Cricetulus griseus: one gene and its partners. Each later gene encodes a partner of the first gene's protein in a complex. Links are inferred from orthologs where the notes say so. Each region holds a gene or a part of one and is shown in the gene's direction. Other genes may lie near its edges.

Region 1 (3,500 bases):
TATTTGTTTTTGTTTTTAATAAAACTATTTAGTTTATAATTATGAAATAATTAGTGGCTGTCTTTCCAGATCACAGAATATATTTTTCACAGAGTAAAATAAATTATATAATTGAATTTAGCTATAGGCCTTGTTACTTACGATTTAGTTAAATTAGAAAATGCACAATACCTTATATTAATTAATATTAATGTAGCATCGTGAGTGTGTCAGATATATCAAAGGTTTGTGAAAATTTTGTTCACTTGAGATTTTCCAAGAAAATTGACAGTTGAGAAATTGTACACAAGGTATTGCTGTAATAACTGCCAAGGCAACACAAGGTTTGATTTTAATTTGGTCTGCTTGAGTGAGGTGAGTTGCAAGCAAGATAGCTTGATTTATTTAAAAATTGAGTATTATGTGCTTAAGAGGTGGCTCAATAGATAAAGCATTCACTGTGCAACCATAACAACTGCAGCTCCAAGCCCCAGCATGCACACAACGTCAGGTGAGCCTGTAGCTACCTATAATCCCAGCACCTGGGAAACAGAGAGAAGGGATCCCGAAGGCAAGCAACGGGCTGCCAAAACTAGCCAGAACCCGTTTTACTAAATTAAATGGAGAGTGACTGAGGAAGATATCCAATGTCAGCTTCCAGTCTTCACATGCATGTCTACACACACGAACATATTAATGCACACCCGTGCATTCACACATATACAAACATTCAAAGGTGATCCATTTAAATTGGGTCTGTTTAATGTGGCCTTTTCTTTGCCTTTGATTTTCTTCACTTAAAATTGGAATTAAAATAATTTTTTGTTTGTTTTGTTTCGGTTTTGGTTTTTCAAGACAGGGTTTCTCAGTGTAGCTTTGGAGCCTGTCGTGGAACTCACTCTGTAGACCAGGCTAGCCTCAAACTCACATAGATCTGCCTGCCTCTGCATCCCAAGTGCTGGGATTTTAAAAGAATTTTTAAAGTAAATATTTAGGGAGTTAAAGAAGAGCTAAGTTGAAGTTATTCTGGATGTAAAATAGCTTTTCTTGTTCATGAGTAATTGACAAAGTCTTAAAGAGAGATGGAGAATGCCTACACATTTTTATTAGTTACTCTTCTAATTACTGGGTTAAGACCAATCAGAAATTAGTCATGTGAAGCCTAAATTATGAAGATGCAAAATGATTATTGTACCCAGCTCCCAGAAAACCTGTGAAATTCTGTCCCTTATGTAAAGTGAGGGTCATCTAACTTAGTGAACTGAGAGCAACAGAAATAAAAATGGGTCACCTTTGTCAATTGAAAAAAAAAAATGGCAGTCATGAGGTGTTTATAAAATTCAAATTGTGAGGTTGTGGCATGGTGAGTTTTCAAGTATCAATAGAATCATCAAGACTCCCCAACTCTGTTTCTCTTCCTTATTTCTAGGATGGCTCATAATGGCTGGTGTGTTCACTTACTTTCGTTTTAATCCCCTTTTCACAACCTTCCAGATGTATCACGAAGCAGAAAATCTTGGGAATGGGAAGTAATGAAAGACAAAGGAGATGGGAAGGGGATAAACTAAATCATGCCACACATTTTAGGAGGAGGTAGGATAGGAAACATGAAAAGCAAGCATTGTAGATTAGAATTCTAACCCCAGGTTAGCAAAGCCCAATGATTAAGTCACAAAATTGAAGAATGGGACAGCATGGTGGGTGACCTTTCCTTGAGTTTCTGAGGTGGGAGGCTGGCGGGCGTGTGTTAATTTAGGATTAGCCTAAAATGATCCATAATTCTTCTCTTTGGGCTGGGTATGTAAGAATAGTTGTTTCAGTGGAAATTAATGAATCTCCCTTTACCAGGAACTAGAAAAGAGAGGCGATGGTGAAAAATCGGATGAAGAGAATGAAGAGAAAGAAGGGAGCAAAAAGAAAAATAAAGATGGCGATGACGATGATGATGATGACAATGATGAAGCAGAGCAAGAGGAGTACGATGAAGAGGAACAAGAGGAGGTAAAAGTCTGAGGATGATGAGAGCTGCTCCCTAACTTCAGAGATATCCTATGGCATGGAATGTCAGTCAGCATACAAAACCACGCCTGTAATACTAGCAAACTCAAGAATAGGGTGCGAGGGGTTTGAGGAGCTGGGGCTACAAGGTGAGACCTTGTCACAAACACAAAACCCTAAGTTTATTGAACCAAAAATGCATTCTTATCCTGGCATCAGGTGCTTGGTATGAAATGATAGTAATACAAAATGAAAACCAGCAGATAAGAGTAACTTGATTGACAGCTTTTGCAAGTAAGGAATTAAGGAAATTGATGAGAGTAGTACAGTTCATACTTACCAACATAAGAAGCTAAGACAGCAGCTGAGGTACCAAAGGGCATAGGCACATACGTCTAGAAGGAAATCCCAACAAGGCCATCATGTCTCAAATTCCCAAGTTCATGTGGACAGAAGCAGTGTGACAGCTGCCGAGGTATTGGTAAACTAGGTTGCTTCACTTCAATTTTAGAATCAATATTTTTTCTATTTTTTTCACCTTTTTGTGATGTCTATAGTTCTCTTTCTACTGTTTTGTATATCTGCATTTAACATATTTAATCTCTTGTTGATCTCGTTCTTTGCTTTACAGAAGCTTCTCAGTTTTCAGAGGTCCATTTATTAATTGTTGCTCTCAGAGTCTGTGCGACTGCTGTTCTCTTTAGGAAGTGGTCTCCTGTGCCTATGCGTTCATGTGTATTTCCCACTTTCTCTTCTATGAGGTTCAGTGTGGATGGATTTATATTGAGGACTTTGACCCATTTGGATTTGAGCTTTGTTCGTAGCGATAAATACGGATCTTGCGTTCTTCTACCCATTGACAGCCAGTTATACAACACCATTTGTTCAATCTATTTTCTTTTTTCCATTTTATATTTTTAGCTTCTTTGTCAAAAATTAGGTGTTCATAGGTGTGTGGGTTGATATTGGGGTTTTCGATTCAATTCCTTTTGTCTACCTGTCTATTTTTATGCCAATACCAAGCTTTTCATTTTCATTACTATAGCTCTATAGTAGAGCTTGAAATCAGGGATAGTGATGCCCCCAGATGATCCTTTATTGTACAGGGTTGTTTTGGCTATCCTGGGTTTTTGTTTTTCCATATGAAGTTGAGTATTGTTCTTTCAAGGTCTGTGAAGATTTATGCTGGGATTTTAATGGGGGTTGCATTGAATCTGCAGATTACTTTTGGTAGGATTGCCATTTTTACTGTGTTGATCCTACCTATCCAAGAACATGGGAGATCTTTCCATTTTCTGATATCTTCTTTAATTTCTTTCTTTAAAGACTTGAAGTTCCTGTCATACAGGTCTTTCACTTAGTTGGTTAGAGTTACACCAAGGTATTTTGTTATTTATGGCTATTGTAAAGGAGATGTTTCTGATATCCTTCTCAGCCCATTTGTCATCTGTATATAGGAAAGCTACTGATTTTTTTTTAGTTAATCCTGTATCCTGTTACATTATGGAAGGTTTTTATCAGTT
Region 2 (3,500 bases), on another chromosome or scaffold:
TAGGGAAGAAAGAAGTGTCAGTAAACATGAGGGCTGACTGTGCCAGTGGATGGGTGTTTACTTTGCCAGTTCCAAAGAACAATTTCTCTTTATTTCTGTGGACATACAGGAAATTCCTAAAACCCCAGACCATGCCCCATCCAGGACCTTCTATCTGTACACGGTGAATGTACTGTCGGCTGCCAGGATGCTGTTGCACAGGTGCTATAAGGTAACAGAATTCGGGCTTTCTCCGTCCCTCACAGATGGCCTCACCCTCCCACCTCCCTTGCCCACTCCACGCCACTTAGAACTGTTCACATTTCTAGTCTGTGTTCTCTCTCCTCAGAGCATAGCCAACTTGATAGAAAGGCGGCAATTTGAAACGAAAGAGAACAAGTGAGTGAACTCTTCTCCACTGGGTCATCTACACTCTTCCCCCCACCCCAATCTGTCAGACATCTCTTTTTTTATACTATTTTTTCCACTGAACCAATAACTAAAACACTTTGAGAATACATGGTGTCCCTTCTCCTTTACCTGGTACCTGTGGGCCCCAACACATTCATTTACATTTTTCAAGGTCCAAAGCCTGAGGGAAAACTTGCTATAAAAATGGCAACAGTAGGCCAAGCAGTGCTGATGCACGCCTTTAGTCCTAGCACTTGGGAGGCTGAGGCACAAGGATCTCTGTGAGTTCGAGACCAGCCTGGTCTACAAAGTGAGTTCCAGGATAGCCTCCAAAGCCACAGAGAAACCATCTCGAAAAACCAAAAAAAGAAAGAAAGAAAGAAAGAAAGAAAGAAAGAAAGAAAGAAAGAAAAGAAAAGAAAAGAAAAGAAAACAGTAGCCCAGTACACAGTATAGTTGCATTGAGTCATAGGTTTGGGTTGGCATAGCCATGCCTTAGTTAACACTTGTTGACTATACCCCCAATTAAATAATTTTGCAAATTTATGAGGCATGTGCTTGACCCCAGAGTTCAAGTTTCAAGAACAAGGTTCTATTTGTGATTAAGTTATGGACAGTGTCTTTAGATGAAACATGGAAAGGAGGGACCTGGACCTCTGGAATAGAGTACAAGAGAATCTCAAAGTTAAGGACACACCTCACAGTTTTGTCTGTCTGATAGGCGGCTACTAGAAAAGTCTCAGCGGGTAGAAGCGATCATTGCATCAATGCAGGCCACGGGTGCAGAGGAGGTGCAGCTTCAGGAGATAGAGGAGATGATCACAGCCCCTGAGCGCCAGCAGCTGGAGACTCTGAAACGCAACGTTAACAAGTAAGTGGTGGGAATTCATACTGTACTTGACGATGCCTTTCAAACAAGTGTGCTTCACAGCCTGTGCTTCACAGCCTGCGCTCCTCCGATTCAGTGAGCAAACCTAATCTCAGCATCATCTTTCCTAGCCTAATTAAAAGAATTGAATCTACCAAGCATGGCAGCACAATCCTTTAATAGATCTCAATGAGTTCGAGGCCAGCCTGGTCTACATAGTGAGTTCCATGTCAGCCAGGGCTATATAGAAAGACCCCGTCTCCCCCCCACCCCCAAAAAAAAAAAAAATATTCAACCTGTTTTTCTAAGTAGCCATTCTGAGGCCATCATGCTTCCTTTCTATACTGTCATTCACCAAGTACTAAGAACTTTACTTCAGCCTCAAGTCTGGCGTTTCATCTTGGTCCTTTGTTGCCTCTTGCCTAGAGCTTTGCAGTAACCTGATCCTACAAACCATGTGTCACAATGCTCTTAAGGTGTGTGTGTGTGTGTGTGATTTTGTGTGTATTCTGGTCCTAACACTTGGATGGCAAGCAATTTAACCCTCTGGCCCATCTCCCCAACCCTCAGGTTATTTATTGTCTTTGAAGTGAGTAACAGCATCACTCTTCTAGTTGAAATGATTTATTGGCTTCCTTGCTTGTGTTTATGTTTGCTCATCCTTTGATTTGGAAGGAGTTACACTTTTTGACTAAAGGTCTCATATAGTCATACTGGCCTTGAACTGAATCTACTGATTCCAACACCTCCAAAGTGTTGGAATTACCAATGTATACCACCACCCCTGGCTGAGATGATTTATTGATTTGTCTTTTTACAATATAAAATCCAAGTTCATTGCTGTGCCATGAGGCCTTTCATAGTTTCATAGCAGTATACTTCCTGTTGTAGAACAGGTGTGGGTTCAATCAGGGCACTTTAAGGATGATTTTAGCCTTTCCAACTGCAGGACTCAGCCTGTAGGGGACTGAGACACCTTCCCTTAGGAAAGGTCCTTTTTTATTGTTCTCCAACTTACTCCTTTAGCAAGTTGATTTCCATATCCCCAAAACATCCTAAGCTTCCAAATGGACAATACCAAATGCAAATTCTTGATTAAGGAATATCACAGTGTGCTGGATTTTTCCCAACCAAGTTTTGCTTAGGCTTTGTACCCTTGGGAAACTCTTAGACACAATTCATATGTTAAATGCTGAAGCCAAAAGGGCAGATTAAGGCTATGTTCAGACACTCCAGAGCCAGCTGCAGCTGTGTAGCTGTTCTCCCTACAACTCCCATCTTTGTTTCCATTTACTCATTAACAGGGATTGTTAATTGTAATTTTATTTATTTTGTTTGTTTGTTTTGTTTTTTCGAGACAGGGTTTCTCTATAGCTTTGGAGGCTGTCCAGGAACTAGCTCTTGTAAACTAGACTGGTCTCGAGCTCATTGAGATCTATTAAAGGCTTGTGCCTGCCTCTGCCTCTGCCTCTGCCTCTGGAGTGCTGGGACTAAAGGTGTGTGTCACCACCTTCCGGCAATTGTAAATTTATTAATCCTAGTATTTTTTATGGGCTCCTAGGGATTTCCTATGTCATTTCTGAATAGTTTTACTTCTGTCTTTTCAATCTGATTGCCTTTTTTTTTTTTTTTAACTTGCCTAATTGCCTTGACTTCCAGTAGAAGGTTGTAAGGACATTTTGACTTTGTTCCTGATCTAAGGAGGGAAACTGAGTTTTTCACTATTAAGTGTGGTGTAAGCTGTGGTTTTATTTTCCCCTTTGGTTTTATAAGATTGGGAAAGTTACCCTTCCTGATTAGCACTAACTCTTCACCTCATGGTTTCGGAACTCGCTCTGTAGACCAGGCTGGTCTAGAACTCACAGAGATCCTCGGACCTCAGCCTCCCGAGTGCTGGGATTAAAGGTGTGCGCCACCACCTCCCGGCTTTACCTCTACTCTTACATATATATGCTTTTCTTTCTCATGGTTGTAAGTAAAACTTTTAAGTGTAGGCTCTCCTGGTTCTCTCTCTTGCCACATGCTCAGGAATAAATAAGCAATTCTTCATGACCACACCCAGCCCAGCTTCTAACCTTGAGCATGCTAGTGAGCAGTAACCCCAAGCAAATGCTTTCACTTTTTCCCTCAGGTTGGATGCCAGTGAGATCCAGGTAGATGAAACCATCTTCTTGCTGGAGTCATACATCGAGAGCACCATGAAGAGACAGTAACCCAGAAGAAAGCAGTGTTGGGATCTATC
Region 3 (4,266 bases), on another chromosome or scaffold:
GCTTTCTAACGTCCCCGTCTCTAGGTAGAGTTGTCTATGGAGGACATAGAAACCATCCTGAACACACTCATTTATGATGGGAAAGTGGAGATGACGATCATTGCTGCAAAGGAAGGCACTGTCGGCAGTGTAGATGGACACATGAAACTGTACAGGGCAGTCAACCCAATCCTCCCACCTACAGGCTTAGTCCGGGCACCCTGTGGACTCTGCCCCGTAAGTAAAAGCTGCTTCATTTTGTACTTTTATCACCACCATGTGCAAATGCCACATAAAGAAACAACAGGCACACCAGGCTTCCCACCAGCAAGTGTCACCTGAGCTATTCAAACTGCCACAGACTCTTGATAGACAGATTGTTAATGAACAGGTCTTACATTATTTCTTGGAGCATTCAGGGTAGGGACATGTCCTTCTGTTCTTGACCCTGAAATGGATACATTTTCATCGGGACTAACCATTTCTTCTCTGTAGGGAGGGAAATGAAATTTGTTCAAAAGCTGCCACGAGCCAAACTTATTCTAATCCTTCTGTGCCCAGGGCACTAGTGGTGTTATTTCCCCTAAGGAGTGAGAGAACTTAGGGCTGAGTGTAACTCAGTGGCAGAGCACATGCTTAGTATACACATGGCCTTTCGCCCCAGGTTTTAACCCCTAGTGCCCTCCCCCCAGAACAGAAGGAACTTAGACTTAAGCAGAAAGTATCACTTTGAATAAGTATAATTTTTTTTCCATTATGCTTTAGCACTTTCACTCATTCATTCCTAGGTAGTTCGTAAACACGGTGCTGGACATCCTGAGGCTACAGAGAGCAAAAGCACTCCCTATCCCTGTGGCATTTATATTCTTGGGCTGCTATTCTGACATATTCATTATGATAACCCTTGTCTGTACCTATAAGCTCTCTGTGACCCAGTTTCAACTCCTAAACAAAAGCCAACATCCTGTACATCCTACTTTACACCCTGTAAAGATAGTTAAGCATAAAACAACCTTCAATTTAGTACAAATTAAGTTGTTCATAAGTATAGGACTCACTTTCTTCACTCCTATGAACCAGCTGATAGCCTTTTACCAGTGGGCAGGTGAATGGGATCACCTTTATGATGTGTTAATAGGCCTCCAAGCTAGGCAGGATAGTGTACACCTTTAATCCCAGCACTTGTTAGGCAGAGCTTTGTGAGTTTCAGACCTGCCTGTTCTACATAGGGAGTTCTAGGACAGCTGGGACTATATAGTGAGACACTGTCTCAAAAAAAACAAAAACAAGCTAAAAACAAAAAGCTTATAAAAAGTTGACTATGATCACAAGGTAGGCACTGTTATATTGTGCTCCTAAATACAGTCCTAATCCAATTCAAATAGTGTTTTCTTTTTTTCTTGTGTTAGTACTGCTTTAAATCAATGGGGGTTTAGGTATTTTAAAACTTCAATTTGAAGCCGGTGGTAGTGGCGGCGCAGGCCTTTAATCCCAGCTCTTGGGAGGCAGAGGCAGGTGGATCTTTGTGAGTTCGAGGCCAGCCTGGTCTACAGAAGGAGTACCAGGACAGCCTCCAAAGCTACAGAGAAACCCTGTCTCGAAAAACAAAACAAAAAAGCTTCAATTTGAATGTGAACTTTTTTTTGTGTTTCTTTTTAAGGTTTTTGATGACTGCCATGAAGGTGGTGAGATTTCACCATCTAATTGTATTTACATGACAGAGTGGCTCGAATTTTAATAGAGAGCTGTGAATTTTACTTACATTTGGCAAATGAATTACTTGGAGAGCAAATAATTCATGATAGAACATCCAGTTTCTTTGAAAGCATACTTCTCTATGATGGATACTGACTTGCTGCTATGAAAACGTATTTATTTCCGAAGACAGAACACAAAGCAGATGAAGTTTAATAAAGTTTAATAGGGAAGTCTCTTCAAGAAAATACCTTGAAGCTCTGGAAAAGAAGCCAGCAAACCTACACTGACCAAGTACTGCGATAACAGATAGAGCGTGAAGGTGACATGTAAAGTTACTTGTTAATGTCTTCATTGAAACTCATCATATCAGGTTTATTATCACCATTTCTGTTGGTTCGTTCTTGGGTTTCATTGAGAGGAACAGCTGACGATGGGATGTGTGCAGACTTGGGGCCTGAATGTAAAGTGGACATCCGTTTTCCACACTGTCCATTCCTCTTCACTTCAGCAGCACTGTTTCAGGAGAGCATGCTGCCACACTGACTTTGTGTCCAGGACAGGAGTTTAGATCAGTGGTAGTCCATCCTAAAGGGGATAATCTCCCAACTCCTTTGTTGTTAAGGTTGTAAATCTCTCTGTATGGCTTAACTGTACTACTTGCCAGAATTTTTTCCAGATTCTTACTTCATGCCTATAGTTTGACCCTCTCTGCCATCAGCATCAAATTCAAATTTTGTAATCTAATCCCCATGTGCGATGTGATAAGTAGGACCTTTGGAAGGTGACAGATCGTGAGTGTAGAGTCCTCATGAGTGGAATTAGGGCCTGTATAGAAGACACCCAAAGTGTTCTGTTGGCTCTTTATCATTCCAGAGCACAGGGGAAAGAATAAGGATGTGGGCCCTTGTTAGACAGTAAATCTACCAGCACATTCGACTTCCCAGCTAGAAGCAGTTCTCAGTCTGTAGGTTGCAACCCCTTTGGGGTTTGAACAACCCTTTTAAGGGTTTGTCTGAGATCTTCAGAAAACAGACATTTACTTTACAGTTCATAACAGTAGCAACATTATAGTTACACAGTAGCAAAAAAAATAATTTTATGGTTGGGATGAGGACAACATGAGGAACTGTATTAAAGGGTCGCAGCATTACGAAAGTTGAAAACCAGTGATCTATTGTGTTCTATCAAAGCAGATAGAAGAGATAGTATCTAATATTTTAACTAAACTAAAACTAGCTGGGTATGATGGTGCACTCTTTTAATCCTAGTACTTGCGAGGCAGAGGTAGGTAGATCTTGGTTAATTTGAGACCCTTGGTTAATTTGGCCTACATAGTGAGTTCCAGGACAGCCAGGGCTATAGAGAAAGAGACCCTGTCTCAAAAAATAACAGTAGATCATTGCCCTTCGTTTTGAGGGGTGAGAACCTGTCTTTTACAGTATTTTAGATCGGTCTCCTTTTTTCTTCTTCTTTTCTAAAAACATGGAGTGCTGTGTCTAAGCAGAAAAAAAATCACTGTAGTTTGTTAGTCCCAGCACTGGGCACTGGAAAACACTAATTGTCGTGCTGTTACACAGAAGATAGCCATATGCCTTTTATGGATCTCAGTGGTTGATATTTGCTTTCCCTCTCCCTCTCCCTCTCCCTCTCCTCTTTTGAGACAAAGTTTTTCTGTATGGCCCTGGCTATCCTGAAACTTTAGACCATGTTGACCTTGAATTCAGAGATCCACCTGCCTCTGCCTCTGAGTGCTGGAATTAAAGGACTCTTCTACTATGTCTACTTTACTTTGTGTCTTAAAAGTTTCTTTATGTGAAACATGGGCCAACTGAAAGGGTTCACACTCCACCCTTGTATTCTGTCTTTTTGTTTTATTTTGTTGGAGAAGAGTCTTACTCTACACTGGAGTTCACTTTATGGTCTAGGCTGGCCTTGAACTTATGGTGGTTCTGCTTTAGCCTCCCAAGTGCTGGGATTACAGGCATTTAGCAGCCATGCCTGGCTTTCTATTATCTTGGTAATTAGATACTAAGTTTTAAATTTGCTGTGTCCCTTGCCTCACCAGAATAAAAAGGTACTTGAAAAGGTTTTCTTCATAGCATTTTTTTTTACTGGGTAGTTTTTGTAGCATATTATTTAATCTATTAACTGAAAGGGATAGATAAATATAACAAAATGTAGCAACTGTGCTGTAAATAAAATGAATTTGCCTACAGAAATAAGCTGTTATCCTTGGCCTCTAAAATCATGGTGCCACAAAGCAAAACTGCAGATGAAGTCCAGATACTTCAGTCTTTCTCAGTATTACGTATTTTGCTTACCTGAGAACATATACTCTAGTCTCTTTAAAAGTGGCCCATAAAAAGAAAATTAGACATTGCCAGTCATGGTGGTGCATGCCTTTAATTTCAGCACTTGGGAGACAGGCAGGTCCAGGCGGATCTCTTGAGTTCAAGGCCAGCCTGATCCTACAGAGAGAGTTCCAGGACAGCCAGGGATACACAGAGAAACCTGTCTCGGAAAAACAAAACAAATTGACATAAGTCCACTTAATGGTTTTTCATGGATTCTCACGTGAAACTCCCAATT
Region 4 (4,103 bases), on another chromosome or scaffold:
TCTGGCCTTGAACTTGCTGTTGGGAGGATGATCTTGAATCCCTAATCCTCTTGCCTCCAACTCCCAAATGCTGGGATTATAGCAGATATGGGCCAGCAGGTCCAACCTTTTTTCTTTTCTTTCTTTCTTTCTTTTTTTTTTTTTCTTTTTGGTTTTTCAAGACAGGGTTTCTCTGTGTAGCTTTGGAGCCTATCCTGGCACTCCCTCTGGAGATCAGGCTGGCTTCGAACTCACAGAGATCCACCTGCCTCTGCCTCCTGAGTGCTGGGATTAAAGGCATGCGCCACCAACCCCCTTTCTTCTTTTTTCAAAGTTTTATTTTATTTTTTTGGTTTTTCGAGACAAGGTTTCTCTGTGTAGCTTTGGAGCCTATCCTGGTACTCGCTCTGTAGACCAGGCCGGCCTCGAACTCACAGTGATCCACCTGCCTCTGCCTCCTGAGTGCTGGGATTTAAGGCATGTGCCACCAGCACCCAGCCAAAGATTTATTTTATGTGTATCTGTGAGTGTCTGTGTGTATGTATATACTTCACATGTGTGCCTGGCGGGGGCTATATAAAAGGCCTTGGATCCTCTGGAATTGGAGTTACAGGTTGTTGTGAGCCACCACGTTGGTGCTGGGAATCAATTCCTGATCCTTTGCTAGAAATGGAAGTACTCTTAACTGCTATGCCATCTCTCCAGGTGTCTCTCTTTCTCTCTCCCTCCCTCTCCCTTTCTCTCTGTTTCTTGTGTGGCCTAGGTTGTCTCACAAAAATGTGCTAGCCTCTACCTTCCCTTTTTTCCCTTGCTGGAATTAGAGGCGTGCGCCACCATGCCTGGCTGGCTTCTGGGGGTTTTGGTTGGTTGATTGGTATGTGTGTGTGTGCCTGTGCGTTTTTTTTAAACAAGATTTTATTTATTTATTATGTATACAACATTCTGCTTCCATATATATCTGCACATCAGAAGAGGGCACCAGATCTCATAACGGATGGTTGTGGGCCACCATGTGGTTGCTGGGAATTGAACTCAGGACCTTTGGAAGAGCAGCCAAAGGTGCTCTTAACCTCTGAGCCATCTCTCCAGCCCTGTTTTTTGTTTTTTTACACAGTGGTCTGCAATAGCCCAAGATAGCTTGAAACCCACTCTGTAGCACAGGCTAGCCAGGAACTCGTGGCAATCCCCCTGCTTCAATCTCTCTAGTGCTGAGATATCAGCTGCGAACTGACTGGCTTGGAGATTTTTAAAGCGTCCAAGACAGGAACCTTATCTTATTAAAACCCTAACAAAACCTAGACCATAAAAAAGTTTAAATTTTGCCTCCAGAGGCTGAAATTCGAAATCCGTACGACGCAAGGAGCCCGGCGTTCCCTACAGCGATCCCGGCATGCAACACGGCGTCCCAGAGTGGCTTGCGGCGCACACGCAGGCCGAGAGCTCCGCGGCGGTGGCACGACGGGAGGCCGTTCCCTTCCAGCGGCTGCGCAGGACGAAGCGGCTGCGACATGGAAGTGTAAGCCGCATGTCCGAGGGCAACCCGACTCATCTGGGGGCCGGAGACGGCTGGTGGTCGACCCTCCGCACCCGCTACCAGGGCGGGAGGGCGGAGTGGACGGGCCGGAAGTATCTGGAGGTGGGGCGGCTGGGGAGGGATCCTGCTGGTCCCGCAACCCACGTTCTTTGAGGGAGGGGAGTGTAGGAGCAATGAGTTTTGTTTGCTTGTTTGTTTTTCCTCCTGGTTCTGGGTATGAAACTCAAGACCTTGCACGCGCTCCGCAGTCGTCTGCCCCCCCCCCCATCATCATCATTTTGTAATGCTGGAGTTGGTACCCAGGGCTTCTCACATGCCAGGCAAAGGCTGCAACCCTAGCCGTTACCACCGTCGTTATTTGTGATACTGATACCCAGGGCTGTGAACATACAAAGGTGTGCTAGTTTCCTTTCTGTTGTGTGAAAAACACCATGACCAAACAAGGAACTTCGGGGTAGAAGTTTATTACATCTTTTGGTTTTTTGGAGACAGGGTTTCTCTGTGTATCTCTGGCTGTCTTGGCACTCGCTCTGTAGACCAGGCTAGCTTCGAACTCTCAGAGATCCATCTGCCTTTGCCTCCCTGAGTGCTGGGATTAAAGGCGTGCACGACTACCGCCTGACAGGGTTTATTTATTACATCTTACACTTCAGGACACAGTTCATCATTGAGGGAAGTCAGGGCAGGAACTCAAGGCAGAAACCTGAACAGAACCCGTTCAAAAATTCTGCTATCGGTTTACTCTCAGGCTTTTTTTTTTTTTTTAAGATTTTATTTTATTTATTATGTATACAACATTCTGCTTCCATGTATATCAGCGCACCAGATCTCATAAGGGATGGTTGTGAGCCACCATGTGGTTGCTGGGAATTGAACTCAGGACCTCTGGAAAAAGTCAGTGCTCTTAACCATTGAGCCATCTCTCCAGCCCACTCTCTGGCTTTTTACAACAACAACAACTCCTCATTTTCTTTTCTTTTCTTTTCTCTTCTTTTCTTTGTTTTTCTCTTGAGACAGGGTTTCTCTGTGGCTTTGGAGGCTGTCCTGGAACTAGCTCTTGTAGACCACAGAGATCCGCCTGCCTCTGCCTTCCAGTGTACTGTTAATTGTTTTGTGGTGCTGGGGATGGACACTAGGGTGCTAGGCAAGTGCTTTAGCACTAAGCCACGTGCCCATCATCATATAGTGGTGTTTGGAATGGTAGCATCCTGAGCATTCTAGGCAGTTACTCTCCCACCAGCAAAGCCATCTTGACAGTTTTTTCTCCATACTGTTTTTTTTCTTCTTTTTTTTTGTTTTTTTTTTTCTTTTTTGATGTGCAAATGTAAGTTTTTGCATCTATTCTACCTGTGGACTTTATATATCCCTGGATGACATACCTAAATTGTGGGGTTTTTTTTTTTTTTGTGGGGGTGGTTTGAGACAGGGTTTCTCTGTGTATCTTTGGAGCCTATCCTGGCACTCGCTCTGGAGACCAGGCTGGCCTCGAACTCACAGAGATCCGTCTGCCTCTGCCTCCCCCCCCCCCAGTGCTGGGATTAAAGGTGTGTGCCACCGACGCCCAGCTCTAAATTGTGTTATCATTCATTGTTCTTTACCTTCTGTTCACTTGTAATATATACTACAGTTTGTCAGACTTTTTAATACAGAGTCATAAGTAGCTCAGACAGGCTTTGATCTTGGTATTCAGCAGAGGATGATCTTAAGTTCTATGTCTCCACCTCTCAAGCTGCCACATCAGATTAGTATTTGTATGGGGGGGGTCTCACTGTGTAGCTCAGGCTGTCTGGTTCAGCTTTCTCCATCTGAGTAGCTATTGTCAGACACCCTGGCAATGCTCAGCTCTCTGACATGGCCCTGAATTTCCCTCTCCATCCTACTGCTGGGAGTTCTTTTGTTACTCCTCTTCCCTTGCTGGTCTCAATGTTATTGAGCATCTTAGTGCTTCATCTTCTTGGGACACTTTCTGTTCCCATTCTTGGTATACATTCATTTATATGATGGTGGTTCCTCAAAATGTTTCTTTTTTTCTTTTTTTGTCCCTCATTTTCTGTCAAATTGTTTAAAACAAAATCTAGCATATTCCCTACCAGTCATCAGACAGTCCTTTTCTTGTTTTCCAGCACCCCCCACCCCTTGTAGTAGGGTCTCATGTACCCAAGGCTTAGCTTAACCTTGAACTTACTACCCATTCAAGGGTGGCCTTGAGCTTCTGATCCTCCTGCTTTTACTTTGCCATTGCTGAGTTTACTGGTGTATTACACCATACCCTGTTTATGCAGTGCTGGGGATGGGGCCAGGGTTTTATTCGTCTTAGGAGTGTTGTAATTTAAGAAAAGCGGTGCACGAGAGAAAGATGCCATGCACAGGGTTCAAGCAGAGGGGTTTTTTATAGGGGAAAGGGAAGGAGGAGATTGGCTTCCGAGACAGGGGCAGCAGTTGAGAGGAGAAAGGAAAGGGATAAAAAGGAAAGAGGGAGAGAGAGAAGAATGGGGGAGGGGGAAACAGACAGAGAGGGAGGGAAAGAAAGAGAGAAAGGATGGGAGGTAGGCAGGGCCCTTTTAAAAGGGAACACAGTGAATATGTACAG
Region 5 (3,500 bases), on another chromosome or scaffold:
GTTGAAAATTTCACTGGTGACCTCAGTGTGGACTTAAACCCAGGGGCCCAGTAGGAGGGACACTGGTCAGTCTTGCTTCTGGGTAGGGACCTGACTGGGAGTGTTCTTGGGAGCTGTGCCATGGCACCTTCCAAGTTGGGTGGTACTTTGTACCTCCAGGTAGAGCTTGAGATGGCCATTGACACCGTGAATCCCAACTACTGCCGCAGCAAAGGGGAACAGATTGCATTGAACGTGGATGGTGCCTGCGCTGATGAGACTAGCACATATTCCTCGTGAGTCCCTGCCCCTAGGGTTCTATTGCAGGTAAAGGTTAAATAGGAGTCTGCAGAGGCCTCAGAAGCATGGGGCCCTTTTTGCTCTTTCTCTGGGATCCCCATCATGTCAGGTCTCTCTACCTTTAACCATAGAAGGTTGTAGACCTTCCCTCCCAAGTTGGCTTGTCCCACCAGGTGCTTCTGGGCTACAAGGGAAACTGGCCTCTGGAGCCCCAGTCCATCATTCATTTCCTGGTGCACAGACAAAGCTATGAGTTTTCTCATTCCTTAGCCCTAGCTAGTGTATCTTGGAGGATGTTAGGATAGAATGGGGTTGGCTAGCTTCTCTGGAGCATTGTAGCCCTTCATACTAGTTCTGCTTGTGTTCCCAGGAAGCTAATGGACAAGCAGACCTTCTGCTCCTCCCAGACCACCAGCAACACGGCCCGATATGCAGCTGCACTCTACAGGCAAGGTACCTGGGTCTGGCTATACCCTGGGGAGATCACAAGGTGGGTTGGGCCTAGGGGACCTCACCCAGCCTAGATCTCCCCAGCCTAATGTATGGTCTTGGCCTCTACTGAATACCAAACCAGACAGGATCAAGGCAGCATAGAAATGACAAACTGTGGAGTCAAAGCACCACAAAGGGGATTTTCTGGCACTCCCAACTTGATAGAATTGGGCCTTCAAGTCAGTTTGCTGGTGGGAACACATATACAACACAGCATAGTATTGGGGACAGGTGGGGACAGGGTACTTAGAACCCAGCAATCCTGTTCATAGGCAGCATCTACTGAGGACAAATGAGGGTATGCCCACTTAAAATCTTGGACACAGATGTCCATAGGGCCTTTATTCATGAGACCTAAAGAATGGAAACAACCCAAAGCCCATTAAGTGATGCTTGAGTAAACAAAATGTGGCATATCCAAGTAACAGCCTTATCTGGTTATATGAAGGATTCCTGTTGTGTGTATAAAATCATGGAAGAAACCAGGCTCAAAAGACTACAAATGGCCGGGCGTTGGTGGCGCACGCCTTTAATCCCAGCACTCGGGAGGCAGAGGCAGGCGGATCTCTGTGAGTTCGAGGCCAACCTGGTCTCCAGAGTGAGTGCCAGGATAGGCTCCAAAGCTACACAGAGAAACCCTGTCTCGAAAAACAAAAAACAAACAAAACAAAACAAAACAAAAAGTGTGTGACAGAAACCAAACCAGGCCAGTAAACACAATGGGGAGAGGCAATTCANCCCCCCCCCCAAAAAAAAAGACTACAAATGGCCAGGCATAATTCATACTTAATCTCGGCACACCTTTAATCCCAGCATTTGGGAGACACATGAAGGTGGATCTCTGAGTTCCAGGCTAGTTTGGTCTATATATTAAGTTGTAGGATAATCAGGGCTATGTAGAGAGACCTTGCCTCAAAAAATAAATAAATAAAAAGATTGCTTGCTTACATGTTTTAGTTTTCTTTCCTGTTGCTGTGATAAAACACCCTGACGAGAGCAATTTAGGAGAAAGTTTTTTTGGCTCTACAGTCCCAAGTTACAGGCCACCATTGTTGGGAGGTCACAGCAGCAGGAAGTGATCACTTTACGTCCACAGTCAAGATGTGTGCAATGAGTGAATGCACACATGCTAGTGCTCAGCTTTCTTCACTCCAGTCTAAGGCCCCAGGCCCATTGGAGTGGTCCCACCCATGGGTGGGTCTTCCTCATAGTCAAGACAAAGCCCACAGACGTGCCCACTGTCTAACTTAATCCCTCACTGAGACACTTTTTCTAGGTGTTTCTAGACTGTGTTAGGTCGACAAGTAACCATCATTCCACATAATGCCATATTATGAACTGCAGAATAAACATCTGTAGAGGCATAGAGCTGTCAGTCCCCAGGACCAGAGGGAGGATGATGTGGGGTGTGACAGGTTTGTTTTGGGGTGATGAAAATGTGCTGAAGTTGAGAATGGCATTGTTGTCACAGTTCTGAGACTATGTTAACCTACGTCAAGGCGTGTGCTTCAAATGGGTGAATGTCTAGGGTGTGTCAGCCCATCAACACATCTGCCAGATGCTCACTTCATTCAGCATTTGGAGTTTGCAGAGCAGCAAGTGACATGGATCTGAATACAGAGGAAGTAGAATCAAAAGTCATATCCCAAGTAGCATGCACCTTTAATCCCGACACTCAGGAGGTAGAGGCAGGCAGATCTGTGAGTTTGAAGCCAATCTGGTCTACAGAGGGAGTTCAGGACAGCTAGGGCTGTTATACAGAGAAACCCTGTTTCGAAAAAACCAAAAAAAAAAAAAAGTCTTAGCTGGGTGGTGGCACACACTTTTAGGGAGTCAGGTAGATCTCTGAGTTTGAGACCAGCCTGGTCTACAGAACAAGTTCTAGGACAGCAAGGGCTACACAGAGAACCCCTGTTTTGAAAAATCAAAAACAAACAAAAAACAAGCAATGGCCCATAGCTACTATGTCCTGTCCTCAAGGCTGTATCTCTTTGAAGCTACATTTCTTTTTACATTTTTTTTAATATTTGTATGTGAGTGTTTTGTCTGCATGTGTATATGTGCATTGTGTGAGTGCCTGGTGCCTGAGGAGGTCAGAAGAGAGCATTGGATCCCCTGGAATTGGAATTACAGATGGTGTCTGCTGCCATGTGGGTGCTGGGAATCAGACTTGGGTCCTCTTCAAGAGCAACAAGTGCTCATAACTACTGAGCTATATCTCCAGCCCTGGAAGCTATAATTATTACAAAGACAGATCATAGGGACCAGACTGTCCTCTGATGGAGTCCAGTAGGGCTTTTGGCAGCAGCAGTGTGGCAAAGGGGGAAGAGGGGTGGCTACAGGGAGCAGTAGGGCTGAGGAAAGGAGACCTGACTTGGGTGGGGAGGGGCATGAGTGCTGGGGAGTATAGGGAGGTAAGTCTCAAGGAAGTGGCAGAGCAGAGTTAGGCTCCTGTTCCAGGGTGTGCTTGCTGTGCCTGGCAGGATCAGATAAGAGTTGGAAATACCTCCTAGCCTGGTATTGCTGAAGAGGCTAGATTGGGACTGGAGTAGGATCAGTGGTTTGGTTGTGGGGGACTTGGTGATTCCTTTGAGTAAGCTGGGTATGTTGGGCTGTGGCTTACAGGGGCAGGTTCAAGCCCTTCTTCCTTTGCCAGGTGAACTCCACCTGACACCTTTACATGGCATCCTACAGCTTCGGCCCAGCTTCTCCTACCTGGATAAGGCAGA
Region 6 (2,700 bases), on another chromosome or scaffold:
ATGTGTTCTTGGATTCGATTTGCCAGTATTTTATTTTGCCAGTATTTTATTGAGTATTTTTGCATCAATATTCATGAGGGAGATTGGTCTGTAGTTCTCTTTCTCAGTTGTGTCTTTGTGTGGTTTGGGTACCAAGGTAATTGTAGCCTCATAAAAAGAGTTTTTGCCTCAGTTTCTTAAGTGCTAGGATTATAGCTGTGTGCTACCACACTGGGCAGGTATTTTTTGTTATAGTCTCAGAAAACAGACTATAATAGATCCTTCCCCATGCTATGCTTCCAGCCAGAATTCAACAAAATTTGAGAAAGGAAGTACGATCAGGGAAGTGCTTTCAAAGTCACAGTTCTCTCTGGTCCCGTTAGTATTGGTGTGCTGTGGGCAGAATGTTGCTATCAGCAAATTCAGCATTGGCAAGGAAGTTGGAATGAGCATGGAGATGAGATGTTTACCCACACTTAAAACAGTATTTGTGTAATGTGGATGACTTGTTTTTCTCTTTGTCAGAGCCATGTCCAAAATGTGAACATCCCCGTGCCTACTTCATGCAGCTTCAGACCCGTTCTGCAGATGAGCCAATGACTACCTTCTACAAGTGCTGCAATGCTCAGTGTGGACATCGCTGGAGAGACTAAGGGCAGGACTTACCCAGCTGCAAGCATGAATTTTGTGTGCTGAAGGTCTTTGCTGTATGATAGGAAGCTGATTCTACTGAGGACTAGGGTAGAACAGGCCATCTGCAAGTCAGCAGATAAAAGTCCTTAATGAACAGGGACCTCAGGTCCTTGGGAAATACACATAAGAATATTCACTTGGCTTCAGGTCCTGTTCATTCATCCTTTGTGTTTAGTAGGTAGGTGATATTTCCTTACTACCATTAGTCCTATAAACTTGGTTTATAGCCAAAGATAATCTTAAACCTCCTATTCTTCCTTCCTCTGCATGTGAACTGTGTTCATTTTATGCAATGCTGGGGATTGAACTCTGAGCCTCATTCACGCTAGACAGGTACTCTGACAACTGAGCTATATCTCCAGCCATTTAGTTTTTAAAATAATTTCTATTTATTTATCTCTAGAGAAATTATAAAAATACCCATAAAATCATTGAAAAGCACTTTAAAATTCAGGATTGACATGATTCATCTTTTATGATTAACAATTAAAAAAACTGTTCTGTGATTTGGATTTTCTGGATGATGTTGATAGGAATTTAAAAGTAACCAAGAATATTTTATATTTCCAGCTAGAGAGAATGATCCACAATAAAGCCTGTGCCTAGCATGTGCAAAGGTCTGTGTTTGAACCACATTCAAAAATCTATTAAAACTTGAATAAATTTAGAAAAGTCACATATTTATTGATACTACTAGTGAGATTACTCTGTATAATGGACATATTTTCTATGTTGGAAGCTCTGATCGCTTCCATGCAACTGGTCAGTCATATATATGATAAAGAGTGCAGATAGTAAGGCTATCTAAAATAACAGTGCCCTTCTATGAACATAGCATTTCTGACATTTTCAAAGTCCTTAAGTGGAGATAAGGATGAGTAATTCACAAAAGGTGACTTTGAAATCTTTGATCTATGGTTGTTTTCAAGCCTTTGGAACTTCACTGATCATCTCCTTTCACTAACTCTATTACAAAGGAGAGTCACACAGTCTTTGAATGAGGATGTATTTGAGTATTAGATCACTTACCTAGCATATGATAAGTTCTGGGCTCAATCCTTGGTACTGGATGACAGAGGTGTGGAGGAGAATGATAATTTTTACTTAAAATAAAAGTAAGTAAGGGTTAGGACATTGTCACATTTCTGGTGAGAGTGGAAGTCAGTACCAGTTCAATAGTTTCTCAGGGCAATAAGGCAATGGCTATGAGTATTTTAAAATGCTACCCAAGGGTGACACAAACATGCAGTGCTATCACTTGAGAGGCAGAAGCAGGGGTATTGGAAGGTCCAGGCCATCCTGTTATTGGCAGCAGGAGTTGGAAGAGAAGACCTTAACAACAGTATATTTGGTTTAGGGTTTGGTTACTTGGTGTTTTGGGTGTTAAGGAGGTAATTACATTTATTTGTTCTTTGTTTCATGGTAAGGAAGTCTTTTGCTTTCCCCTCTTTTGATTGGGGTATATAAGGGCTTTGAGTAATAAACTTGGGGCTGATCCTAGTATTTACTGGGTGCCCTCCCCACTCTATGTCTTATCTATTTCTTTCCTTAATCCATATTCCTACTGACAAGCCAGCAGGACCAGACACTACACATCACTGGCAGCACCCCCAGAGACCTCTACTTAGGCAGAGCTAGGATATCAGTGGATAAAGTGCTTGTTGCAAAATCATGAGGACCTGAGTTCATATAATTGGCATGTAAAAGCTCAGGGTTAGGATTAGTGTTAGGGTTTAGGAGTTAGGGTCAGGGTTGGGGGGTTAGGCTTAGGGGATTTGGGTTAGTGGGGTTTAGAGTTATGATTGTTAGGTTTGGGTTTAGGTTTAGGGTAACTCAATTAGATTTAGGCTTAGTGTTAGGGTCGTTGTTATGGTTAGGGTAACTCGGTGAGGGTTAGGTTAGGGGTTTAGGGTTGGAGTTAGGGTTAGAGAGTTAGTATTGGGGGTTAGGTTTAGGGTTGGTGTTAGACTTAGGGGGTTATGGTTAGGTTGGCTTTAAGGTTTTGGTTAGAGTGTATTAGGGTTAAGT

What was found.
Region 2: Polr3g (region 1) and Polr3c share a complex: the UniProt entries of both Homo sapiens proteins name them as parts of the RNA polymerase III complex. The link is inferred for Cricetulus griseus from reciprocal best matches to the Homo sapiens genes POLR3G and POLR3C.
Region 3: Polr3g (region 1) and Polr3f share a complex: the UniProt entries of both Homo sapiens proteins name them as parts of the RNA polymerase III complex. The link is inferred for Cricetulus griseus from reciprocal best matches to the Homo sapiens genes POLR3G and POLR3F.
Region 4: Polr3g (region 1) and Crcp share a complex: the UniProt entries of both Homo sapiens proteins name them as parts of the RNA polymerase III complex. The link is inferred for Cricetulus griseus from reciprocal best matches to the Homo sapiens genes POLR3G and CRCP.
Region 5: Polr3g (region 1) and Polr3e share a complex: the UniProt entries of both Homo sapiens proteins name them as parts of the RNA polymerase III complex. The link is inferred for Cricetulus griseus from reciprocal best matches to the Homo sapiens genes POLR3G and POLR3E.
Region 6: Polr3g (region 1) and DNA-directed RNA polymerase III subunit RPC10 share a complex: the UniProt entries of both Homo sapiens proteins name them as parts of the RNA polymerase III complex. The link is inferred for Cricetulus griseus from reciprocal best matches to the Homo sapiens genes POLR3G and POLR3K.

What each region holds. Positions count from the first base shown.
Region 1 is NC_048595.1:302,134,360-302,137,859, reverse strand, and holds part of Polr3g (DNA-directed RNA polymerase III subunit RPC7), read left to right. Parts: intron 1-1,827; coding exon 1,828-1,980; intron 1,981-3,500. UniProt on the Homo sapiens protein: DNA-dependent RNA polymerase catalyzes the transcription of DNA into RNA using the four ribonucleoside triphosphates as substrates.
Region 2 is NW_023276806.1:59,785,402-59,788,901, forward strand, and holds part of Polr3c (DNA-directed RNA polymerase III subunit RPC3), read left to right. Parts: intron 1-109; coding exon 110-211; intron 212-328; coding exon 329-378; intron 379-1,111; coding exon 1,112-1,261; intron 1,262-3,389; coding exon 3,390-3,471; 3' UTR 3,472-3,500. UniProt on the Homo sapiens protein: DNA-dependent RNA polymerase catalyzes the transcription of DNA into RNA using the four ribonucleoside triphosphates as substrates.
Region 3 is NC_048599.1:34,454,945-34,459,210, reverse strand, and holds the end of Polr3f (DNA-directed RNA polymerase III subunit RPC6), read left to right. Parts: intron 1-24; coding exon 25-216; intron 217-1,639; coding exon 1,640-1,717; 3' UTR 1,718-3,766; downstream 3,767-4,266. UniProt on the Homo sapiens protein: DNA-dependent RNA polymerase catalyzes the transcription of DNA into RNA using the four ribonucleoside triphosphates as substrates.
Region 4 is NC_048597.1:109,299,808-109,303,910, forward strand, and holds the start of Crcp (DNA-directed RNA polymerase III subunit RPC9), read left to right. Parts: upstream 1-1,303; 5' UTR 1,304-1,487; coding exon 1,488-1,495; intron 1,496-4,103. UniProt on the Homo sapiens protein: DNA-dependent RNA polymerase catalyzes the transcription of DNA into RNA using the four ribonucleoside triphosphates as substrates.
Region 5 is NC_048596.1:79,724,956-79,728,455, reverse strand, and holds part of Polr3e (DNA-directed RNA polymerase III subunit RPC5), read left to right. Parts: intron 1-159; coding exon 160-275; intron 276-649; coding exon 650-732; intron 733-3,427; coding exon 3,428-3,500. UniProt on the Homo sapiens protein: DNA-dependent RNA polymerase catalyzes the transcription of DNA into RNA using the four ribonucleoside triphosphates as substrates.
Region 6 is NC_048599.1:54,889-57,588, reverse strand, and holds the end of DNA-directed RNA polymerase III subunit RPC10, read left to right. Parts: intron 1-504; coding exon 505-632; 3' UTR 633-2,200; downstream 2,201-2,700. UniProt on the Homo sapiens protein: Core component of RNA polymerase III (Pol III) which synthesizes small non-coding RNAs using the four ribonucleoside triphosphates as substrates. Can mediate Pol I proofreading of the nascent RNA transcript.